Saccharomyces cerevisiae S288C: one gene and its partner. Each later gene encodes a partner of the first gene's protein in a complex. Each region holds a gene or a part of one and is shown in the gene's direction. Other genes may lie near its edges.

Evidence for each region. The genes of interacting proteins can lie anywhere in the genome.
Region 2: the proteins of NVJ1 (region 1) and VAC8 are in contact, whole or in part, in a crystal structure (PDB 5XJG), measured with the Saccharomyces cerevisiae proteins. Residues at the interface, in NP_012065.3 of Saccharomyces cerevisiae: Leu292 (codon at 2,379), Leu293 (codon at 2,382), His294 (codon at 2,385), Ile295 (codon at 2,388), Gln296 (codon at 2,391), Val297 (codon at 2,394), Ser298 (codon at 2,397), Pro299 (codon at 2,400), Thr300 (codon at 2,403), Lys301 (codon at 2,406), Ser302 (codon at 2,409), Ser303 (codon at 2,412), Asn304 (codon at 2,415), Leu305 (codon at 2,418), Asp306 (codon at 2,421), Ala307 (codon at 2,424), Gln308 (codon at 2,427), Val309 (codon at 2,430), Asn310 (codon at 2,433), Thr311 (codon at 2,436), Glu312 (codon at 2,439), Gln313 (codon at 2,442), Ala314 (codon at 2,445), Tyr315 (codon at 2,448), Ser316 (codon at 2,451), Gln317 (codon at 2,454), Pro318 (codon at 2,457), Phe319 (codon at 2,460), Arg320 (codon at 2,463), Tyr321 (codon at 2,466); in NP_010903.3 of Saccharomyces cerevisiae: Leu69 (codon at 1,935), Ala72 (codon at 1,944), Glu73 (codon at 1,947), Glu76 (codon at 1,956), Val103 (codon at 2,037), Ala104 (codon at 2,040), Cys106 (codon at 2,046), Ala107 (codon at 2,049), Gly110 (codon at 2,058), Asn111 (codon at 2,061), Lys119 (codon at 2,085), Glu141 (codon at 2,151), Asn145 (codon at 2,163), Gly148 (codon at 2,172), Cys149 (codon at 2,175), Thr151 (codon at 2,181), Asn152 (codon at 2,184), Ala154 (codon at 2,190), Thr155 (codon at 2,193), Arg156 (codon at 2,196), Lys160 (codon at 2,208), Arg182 (codon at 2,274), Arg185 (codon at 2,283), Asn186 (codon at 2,286), Gly189 (codon at 2,295), Leu192 (codon at 2,304), Asn193 (codon at 2,307), Thr195 (codon at 2,313), His196 (codon at 2,316), Arg201 (codon at 2,331).

What each region holds. Positions count from the first base shown.
Region 1 is NC_001140.6:489,242-493,518, forward strand, and holds NVJ1 (Nvj1p), read left to right. Parts: upstream 1-1,505; coding exon 1,506-2,471; downstream 2,472-4,277. Other genes in the region: MDM31 (Mdm31p), read left to right, coding at 1-1,155; UTP9 (Utp9p), read left to right, coding at 2,690-4,277. UniProt on the Saccharomyces cerevisiae protein: Involved in the formation of nucleus-vacuole junctions (NVJs) during piecemeal microautophagy of the nucleus (PMN). NVJs are interorganelle interfaces mediated by NVJ1 in the nuclear envelope and VAC8 on the vacuole membrane.
Region 2 is NC_001137.3:127,095-131,377, forward strand, and holds VAC8 (protein anchor VAC8), read left to right. Parts: upstream 1-1,730; coding exon 1,731-3,467; downstream 3,468-4,283. Other genes in the region: EDC3 (Edc3p), read left to right, coding at 1-1,190; YEL014C (uncharacterized protein), read right to left, coding at 1,209-1,514. UniProt on the Saccharomyces cerevisiae protein: Functions in both vacuole inheritance and protein targeting from the cytoplasm to vacuole (cvt). Involved in the formation of nucleus-vacuole junctions (NVJs) during piecemeal microautophagy of the nucleus (PMN).

The sequences.
Region 1 (4,277 bases):
ACCAAGGGTTCACAGCAGGATGCCCTGCAAAGGGCGAAGTTGGCCCTTAGTGAGAGAATATTGGTTAACCAACAGGACTTTGATAATGGCAATTATACACAGTTTGATCTGACCATTGACCAAGTCGACATATCGTTGAATTTCAGAAAGTGGATAAATGGGAAGGGTATCCTAGACGAAGTGACCATAAATGGGCTTAGAGGAGTCATAGACAGAACACACGTGGTGTGGAAAAAGGACGACGATCCTAAGAACTATCTGAACGTCTACCAGCCGGGCGACTTTGAAATATCAAAATTCACCATGAACGATGTCCTTTGTACACTGTACCAGCCAAATGGGTTCAGGCCATTCCAGGTGAGTATATTTAATTGCGATCTACCGCAATTGAGAAAACATTGGTTGTTCTACGATATCTTGAATGCGAACAATATCAATGGGACCTACGACAATTCAATGTTCACTATCCACAAGAAGTTCAGAACCGATGATCAGCATCAGGACCCCACGCTGCTATGGAAGCAAATGACAAGGTTTAGGGTAGACAATCTCGACATCGATCACCTGAACGCCGGTATCGAAGGACCCTTTGGATGGATCAACGAAGGTCGCGTGAACATGATTGGCGACGTTCTTTTACCAGATGACGATGCCGCGTCTGACTCGCTGCAACTGACAGAAATCCTCACAGAGATCGGTGACCGCTTAATCAAAAAAGCGAAAAGGTACACTTCATCCCTTCCTCTGGTTGGGCCAGGATTCTCCCCGGCCGTTGATGAAATTGACCCGAACGACTACTTTATTATGGACTTTTCTTTAAGACTATACAATGTCAAAGCCGAAGTCCCTCTGTTCACTTCTGGCTTAACGTATATCAATAGTGCATTGATAAGGCCTATTGTCGGGTACATCAATTCTCACAGGACATACATCCCAATCAAATGCCGCATTGTAAAGAAAAAGTCTGATTTTGAGGGCTCCTGGACCATATATGATTCATACCTTATGCGGGATCTAAGTGCGGAAGCGTACGATGCCTTCGCCGACTACGTCGCTGACGATGAAAAGAGGACATTACGCTTGAGAAGGGTGGGCTTTTGGTCACTGCAACTTATACTCCAGGTGATTTTGATGAGTCTCGGTGCTATCGCGTGAGGAATACCTACTCCTGTCACTTTCTGTACATATGCATTTACATAGCATCGTTCTTTCTATCAGTTTATCTAATTTGTGACGCATCTTTCTTCTTTCTACACTGCGGAAAATCCTATTTGAAAAAAAATAGACGAAAAATATCAGGACCCACCCCCTTATGAAGGAGAGAAGGGGAAGAGGAGCTGCAAAACAAAAAGGTGAGGCTTCTTCTGTCCAGATTTTTGTGAGTGAGAGAGTGTGTGGGAAGAGAAGGAATTAAACCAAACAAAAATTGGAACCAACAACTGTTGCGTTTGCGTGTGTGCATAATATCAAAAAAGCTACAAATATAATTGTAAAATATAATAAGCATGACTCGTCCCCCATTGGTTCGTGGAATCTTTTCGTTAGGTCTTTCTGTAGCCGTTTTGAAAGGTGTTGAAAAAACAGTTCGTAAGCATTTGGAAAGACAGGGATGGATAGAGCCCCAGAAAGTGGACTATGAGTTAATTTTCACTATAGATAGGTTGAAAAACTTGGTAGATAATAAGCGTGAGGCTTTAACTGCGGAACAACCCGACGCTGGTGAACTGAGCTGGCGTAAAGTATTTAATTTCATTTCCAGACAATCCAGCGAATTGGACACACGAATATACGTTCTTATACTACTCCTATCCTTTCTACTACCTATCGCGTGGACTGTACTGGACGGTGATCGCGAGACCACGCTAGAAGATAAGGATAACGATTGTAATGTAGATCTTATTGAAAACGAAAGGAGGCTGAAGCATTACAACGATGGTGAAAGAGCAGTATTGCAATTTGGTAAAAATAGATCCGAACCTATTATATTAAGCTATAAGGACATGAACGTTTTGGAAGGGGAACATGAGTTTACCTCCAAAGAGGAACACAGTAACAGCCATTTGACAAGCAAGAGCGAAAATGCACTAAACCAAGTAGGGAGTGAAGATTTGTTAGGTTGTCACCTGGAAAAGCAATTGGAAGAAGACAAAAATGAACCGAATGGAGAAGCAGACGGTGAGGATGATAATAACCGGGAAAAGGATTGCAGCTCCAGTTCAGAAGTTGAGTCGCAGAGTAAATGCCGAAAGGAAAGTACTGCAGAGCCTGACTCTCTCTCACGGGATACCAGAACAACCTCTTCCCTTAAATCAAGTACATCATTCCCCATATCATTCAAGGGCTCGATAGACCTTAAGTCGTTAAACCAGCCTTCATCATTGTTGCATATACAAGTATCTCCCACAAAATCTAGTAATCTAGATGCACAAGTGAACACTGAACAAGCATACTCTCAACCATTTAGATACTAATGTACTATATTTCCGTCATCTCGGTTATCATCGTCACTTACAACGAGGTGCGAAAATTTTTTTCTTCTAAAGGTGAGAAGAAAACATGAAAAATTTTGAAAAATTTAACGATGAGATGGAGTTTTCAAGTAACTTTATGTAGTTGAAATACATATTAGTACTCCGTTGCAATATATAACGCCGGGCATTCTCCACGTATATACATACCGTAGTGCACAATGGGCTCCTCTTTGGATTTGGTGGCGAGCTTCTCGCATGATTCCACTCGTTTTGCATTCCAAGCAAGCGTCGCACAAAAGAACAATGTGGATATTTATCCATTAAATGAAACTAAGGATTATGTGGTCAATAGTTCATTAGTGAGTCATATTGACTATGAGACAAACGATATGAAGGTTTCAGATGTAATCTTCTTTGGGTGGTGTAGTGATTTGATAGATACGCAGTCATCCAATATCAAAAGAAAATTAGATGAAGATGAAGGAACTGGTGAATCAAGTGAGCAAAGATGTGAAAACTTTTTCGTTAACGGATTTCCTGACGGAAGAATTGTTGTTTACTCTTCTAATGGTAAGGATATAGTTAATATCATCAAGAATAAAAAAGAGATTTTGGGAGCAGACACAGACGAGTCTGATATATGGATTTTGGATAGTGATAAAGTCGTTAAGAAATTACAGTATAACAATTCGAAACCTCTAAAGACTTTTACGCTAGTTGATGGTAAAGATGACGAAATAGTTCATTTCCAAATTTTGCACCAAAATGGCACTTTATTGGTATGCATTATTACTAAACAGATGGTTTATATTGTTGATCCATCAAAGAGAAGACCCTCTACTAAGTATAGTTTTGAAATATCAGACGCTGTAGCATGTGAATTTTCTTCAGACGGTAAGTATCTGTTAATTGCCAACAACGAAGAATTAATAGCTTACGACTTGAAGGAAGATTCAAAGCTGATCCAATCATGGCCTGTCCAAGTGAAGACATTGAAAACTTTAGATGATTTGATAATGGCTTTGACTACTGATGGTAAAATTAATAATTATAAGATTGGCGAAGCCGACAAAGTTTGTTCTATAGTTGTAAATGAAGATTTGGAAATTATAGATTTCACGCCAATAAACAGCAAGCAACAGGTTCTAATTTCATGGCTAAATGTCAATGAACCCAACTTTGAATCTATTTCTTTAAAAGAAATTGAAACTCAGGGGTATATTACAATAAACAAAAATGAAAAAAATAATGCTGATGAAGCGGACCAAAAGAAATTAGAAGAGAAAGAAGAAGAAGCTCAGCCTGAAGTTCAACATGAGAAGAAGGAGACTGAAACTAAGATAAACAAGAAAGTTAGTAAATCAGATCAAGTTGAAATTGCTAATATTCTCTCATCGCATTTAGAAGCTAATTCAACAGAAATATTGGATGATCTGATGTCTGGAAGTTGGACAGAACCAGAGATTAAAAAATTCATCTTAACCAAGATCAATACAGTAGATCATCTAAGTAAGATATTTTTGACTATATCAAAGTCAATAACACAAAATCCATGGAATGAAGAAAATTTACTTCCGTTGTGGCTTAAGTGGTTGCTGACTTTGAAAAGTGGGGAGTTAAATTCTATAAAGGATAAACATACAAAGAAAAATTGCAAGCATTTAAAATCTGCATTAAGATCTTCAGAGGAGATCTTGCCTGTTCTACTCGGTATACAAGGTAGATTAGAAATGTTGAGGAGGCAAGCAAAATTGAGAGAGGATCTTGCACAACTATCTATGCAAGAGGGTGAAGATGATGAAATAG
Region 2 (4,283 bases), on another chromosome or scaffold:
TTATTCCAGATGCAAAGAAAGATTCATGGAACAAGATTTCTTCAAGAAATGAGCAAAGCACACACCAATCTCAGCCGCAACAAGATGCTCAAGATGATCTGGTTTTGGAAGATGATGAACATGAATACGATGTCGATGATATCGATGATCCCAAATACCTACCAATAACTCAGTCTTTGAATATTACACATTTAATTCACTCTGCAACTAACTCTCCATCCATAAATGATAAAACGAAAGGTACAGTTATAAATGATAAGGATCAGGTACTAGCTAAATTAGGCCAGATGATCATCAGCCAGTCAAGATCCAACTCAACATCCTTGCCAGCTGCAAATAAACAAACAACCATCAGATCAAAGAACACTAAGCAGAACATTCCTATGGCTACACCAGTACAACTACTAGAAATGGAGAGCATCACGTCCGAATTTTTCAGTATTAACTCGGCAGGGCTACTAGAAAATTTTGCTGTAAACGCATCGTTCTTCTTAAAGCAGAAACTAGGTGGCCGTGCACGTTTACGTTTACAAAATTCTAATCCGGAACCTTTAGTAGTAATACTAGCCTCAGATTCCAACAGATCTGGTGCGAAAGCTCTGGCGTTGGGTAGACATCTTTGCCAAACGGGGCATATCCGTGTCATAACATTATTTACATGTTCTCAAAATGAACTACAGGATTCCATGGTCAAAAAGCAAACAGATATTTACAAGAAGTGTGGCGGAAAAATTGTTAATAGTGTATCGTCGCTGGAATCTGCTATGGAAACATTAAATAGCCCTGTAGAAATAGTCATCGATGCCATGCAGGGATATGACTGTACATTGAGCGATCTGGCGGGGACGTCGGAAGTTATTGAAAGCAGAATTAAAAGCATGATATCATGGTGTAACAAACAGCGAGGATCTACTAAAGTGTGGTCTTTGGATATTCCAAATGGGTTTGATGCGGGATCCGGCATGCCAGATATTTTCTTTTCAGACAGGATTGAAGCAACAGGAATTATTTGTTCTGGCTGGCCTTTGATTGCCATCAACAACTTAATTGCAAATTTGCCAAGTCTAGAAGATGCTGTTTTGATTGATATAGGTATACCACAGGGCGCCTATTCACAGAGAACTTCTTTGCGTAAGTTCCAAAACTGTGATCTTTTCGTCACTGACGGGTCCCTGCTATTAGATTTGTAAACCAAGAATTACTTTAGCCTAAACTGGATACATACGTATAAGCATACGGTAAGGAAGTGGGATCTGTAGCGGTAATGCAATAATGTGTTGGCTCTCACAAATATGAAAACTGCGAACATCTATATAATAAGGTAACGGTATAACAGAAAAATCTGAATAATTTCTCTTTCCCGGGTAATGAGCCCTTAAGGAGGACTCAAAACGAAAAGGAAAAAAATACGAGTGGAAAGAAAAAATGAACCCTTTCCAGTAATTGATAATAATACAATCATTCATTATTAGAAATATATTAGTTCTCAATTCAAGGCAGAATAGTGCTGTCATTGTGATCAAATTTTTGTGTGAGTCTGCTTTGCTTTCTGTTTTTTTTTGTTGACTCGCTGTTCAATCTCCTACTTTTCCTTTTGTTGTTAAAATAAGGTATTATATATTTATACAACCCTATAAAAAGCAATTAGCCAATTTCCAATCCTACGAAGACAGGAACTGAGCAAACTATAAGGGTGTTCTTTCTTCTGTACTATATATACATTTGCAACTATGGGTTCATGTTGTAGTTGCTTGAAAGATTCTTCAGACGAGGCCAGTGTCTCACCAATTGCCGATAATGAAAGAGAAGCGGTGACTTTATTACTAGGGTATTTGGAGGATAAAGACCAATTAGACTTTTACTCTGGTGGTCCACTAAAGGCCCTAACTACTTTGGTGTATTCAGATAATCTAAATTTGCAAAGGAGCGCCGCTCTGGCATTCGCAGAAATTACTGAAAAATACGTCCGTCAGGTCTCTAGAGAGGTACTGGAACCCATCTTAATATTATTACAAAGCCAAGATCCACAGATTCAAGTGGCCGCTTGTGCAGCCTTGGGTAATTTGGCCGTTAATAATGAAAATAAATTATTAATTGTGGAAATGGGAGGCTTAGAGCCATTAATAAACCAAATGATGGGTGACAATGTAGAAGTTCAATGTAATGCTGTTGGATGCATTACCAATTTAGCCACAAGGGATGACAATAAACATAAGATTGCTACTTCTGGTGCTTTAATTCCATTGACTAAGCTAGCTAAATCCAAACATATAAGAGTTCAGAGAAATGCTACAGGTGCATTATTAAATATGACACATTCTGAGGAAAATAGAAAAGAATTGGTTAATGCAGGTGCTGTGCCTGTATTGGTATCTTTACTGTCGTCCACCGATCCTGATGTTCAGTACTATTGTACTACTGCTTTATCAAATATAGCAGTGGATGAAGCCAATCGCAAGAAGTTGGCTCAAACTGAGCCAAGATTGGTTTCCAAATTGGTTAGTCTGATGGATTCTCCATCTTCAAGGGTAAAATGTCAAGCTACTTTGGCTTTACGAAACCTAGCGTCCGATACAAGCTACCAATTAGAAATTGTAAGGGCTGGTGGGTTGCCTCATTTGGTAAAGTTGATTCAAAGTGATTCTATACCACTGGTTTTGGCTAGTGTGGCATGCATTAGAAACATTTCTATTCACCCTCTAAATGAAGGTTTAATTGTTGATGCAGGTTTCTTAAAACCATTAGTAAGATTGTTGGACTATAAGGATTCAGAAGAAATTCAATGTCACGCCGTATCTACTTTGAGAAATTTGGCTGCATCATCTGAAAAAAACAGAAAAGAGTTCTTCGAAAGTGGTGCTGTCGAAAAATGTAAGGAACTGGCTCTAGATTCACCTGTTAGTGTTCAAAGTGAAATTTCCGCATGTTTTGCTATTTTAGCCCTAGCAGATGTCTCCAAATTGGATCTACTGGAAGCAAATATCTTAGATGCTTTAATCCCTATGACTTTTTCCCAGAACCAAGAAGTTTCTGGTAATGCTGCTGCTGCTTTGGCAAATCTATGTTCAAGAGTGAATAATTATACAAAAATTATTGAAGCATGGGATCGTCCGAATGAAGGCATTCGTGGATTTCTGATTAGATTTTTGAAAAGTGACTATGCTACCTTTGAACACATTGCGCTATGGACAATTTTACAATTGCTAGAAAGTCATAATGATAAAGTGGAAGATTTGGTTAAAAATGATGACGACATCATTAACGGAGTGAGAAAAATGGCAGATGTGACCTTTGAGCGTTTACAAAGATCAGGAATTGATGTTAAAAATCCGGGGAGCAACAACAATCCAAGCTCGAATGATAACAACAGTAATAACAATGACACAGGATCTGAACATCAACCTGTAGAGGATGCAAGTTTGGAATTGTATAATATTACTCAACAGATTTTACAATTTTTACATTGATTTTCTTCAAAAGCGGGACTAGGCATTATAATTTTTATCAAAATTTTCTTCTCAGAAGTTTTATTTTCTTTCTCTCCATTTCTTCCATCTTTTTAATCTTTGTTTCCTTTTTTTACATCATATTACTTCTACCTACTCTACTCTATTCTAATTTCAATTGATTTTTTTTATTTTATTTTTTTTTTTGTTAATAAAAGAAGAAAAAACTTAAAAACGAATAAGAGGCTGTCTTTGTTCCGTAGTATATGCCTATTTCCTTCTAGAAGTTTGAAGTGTCGTAAATTTTACCTACGGATAATGTTCGTTACATTGTTGAATGGCAACTGTAGTGAGGTAATGTTCAAAAAGTGAGAAAGCGGGAGAGAAGGGCTACATACAAAAACCAATTCTAGATAACATCTATATCTTCGTTTTTAGAATATATTGTAATAAAACACAATTGATAATACAGTTCTCTCTTCGTCCTCTGATGGTGGGAGATCTATTAAAAATACAAGTTAGCTGAGCGGGGGAAAAAAATAGGTCTTACCCGGATTCGAACCGGGGTTGTTCGGATCAAAACCGAAAGTGATAACCACTACACTATAAAACCTCTTAATTATTGATTTCCACAATAATTTTATCATATATCAACACTATTCTTCACATAGTTTTTTTAATCCCGGTGTCTCTCATCTGCTAATGAAAATACGTTCACTCATATTTCATGCACCTTCCAGTAGACTGACCCTTCATAAGGTTAAGAATATCATGGGGAAATTATCGCAATGCATGTCTCTTAAAGAATACAAGAATATATAAAGGCGAATCAACGAT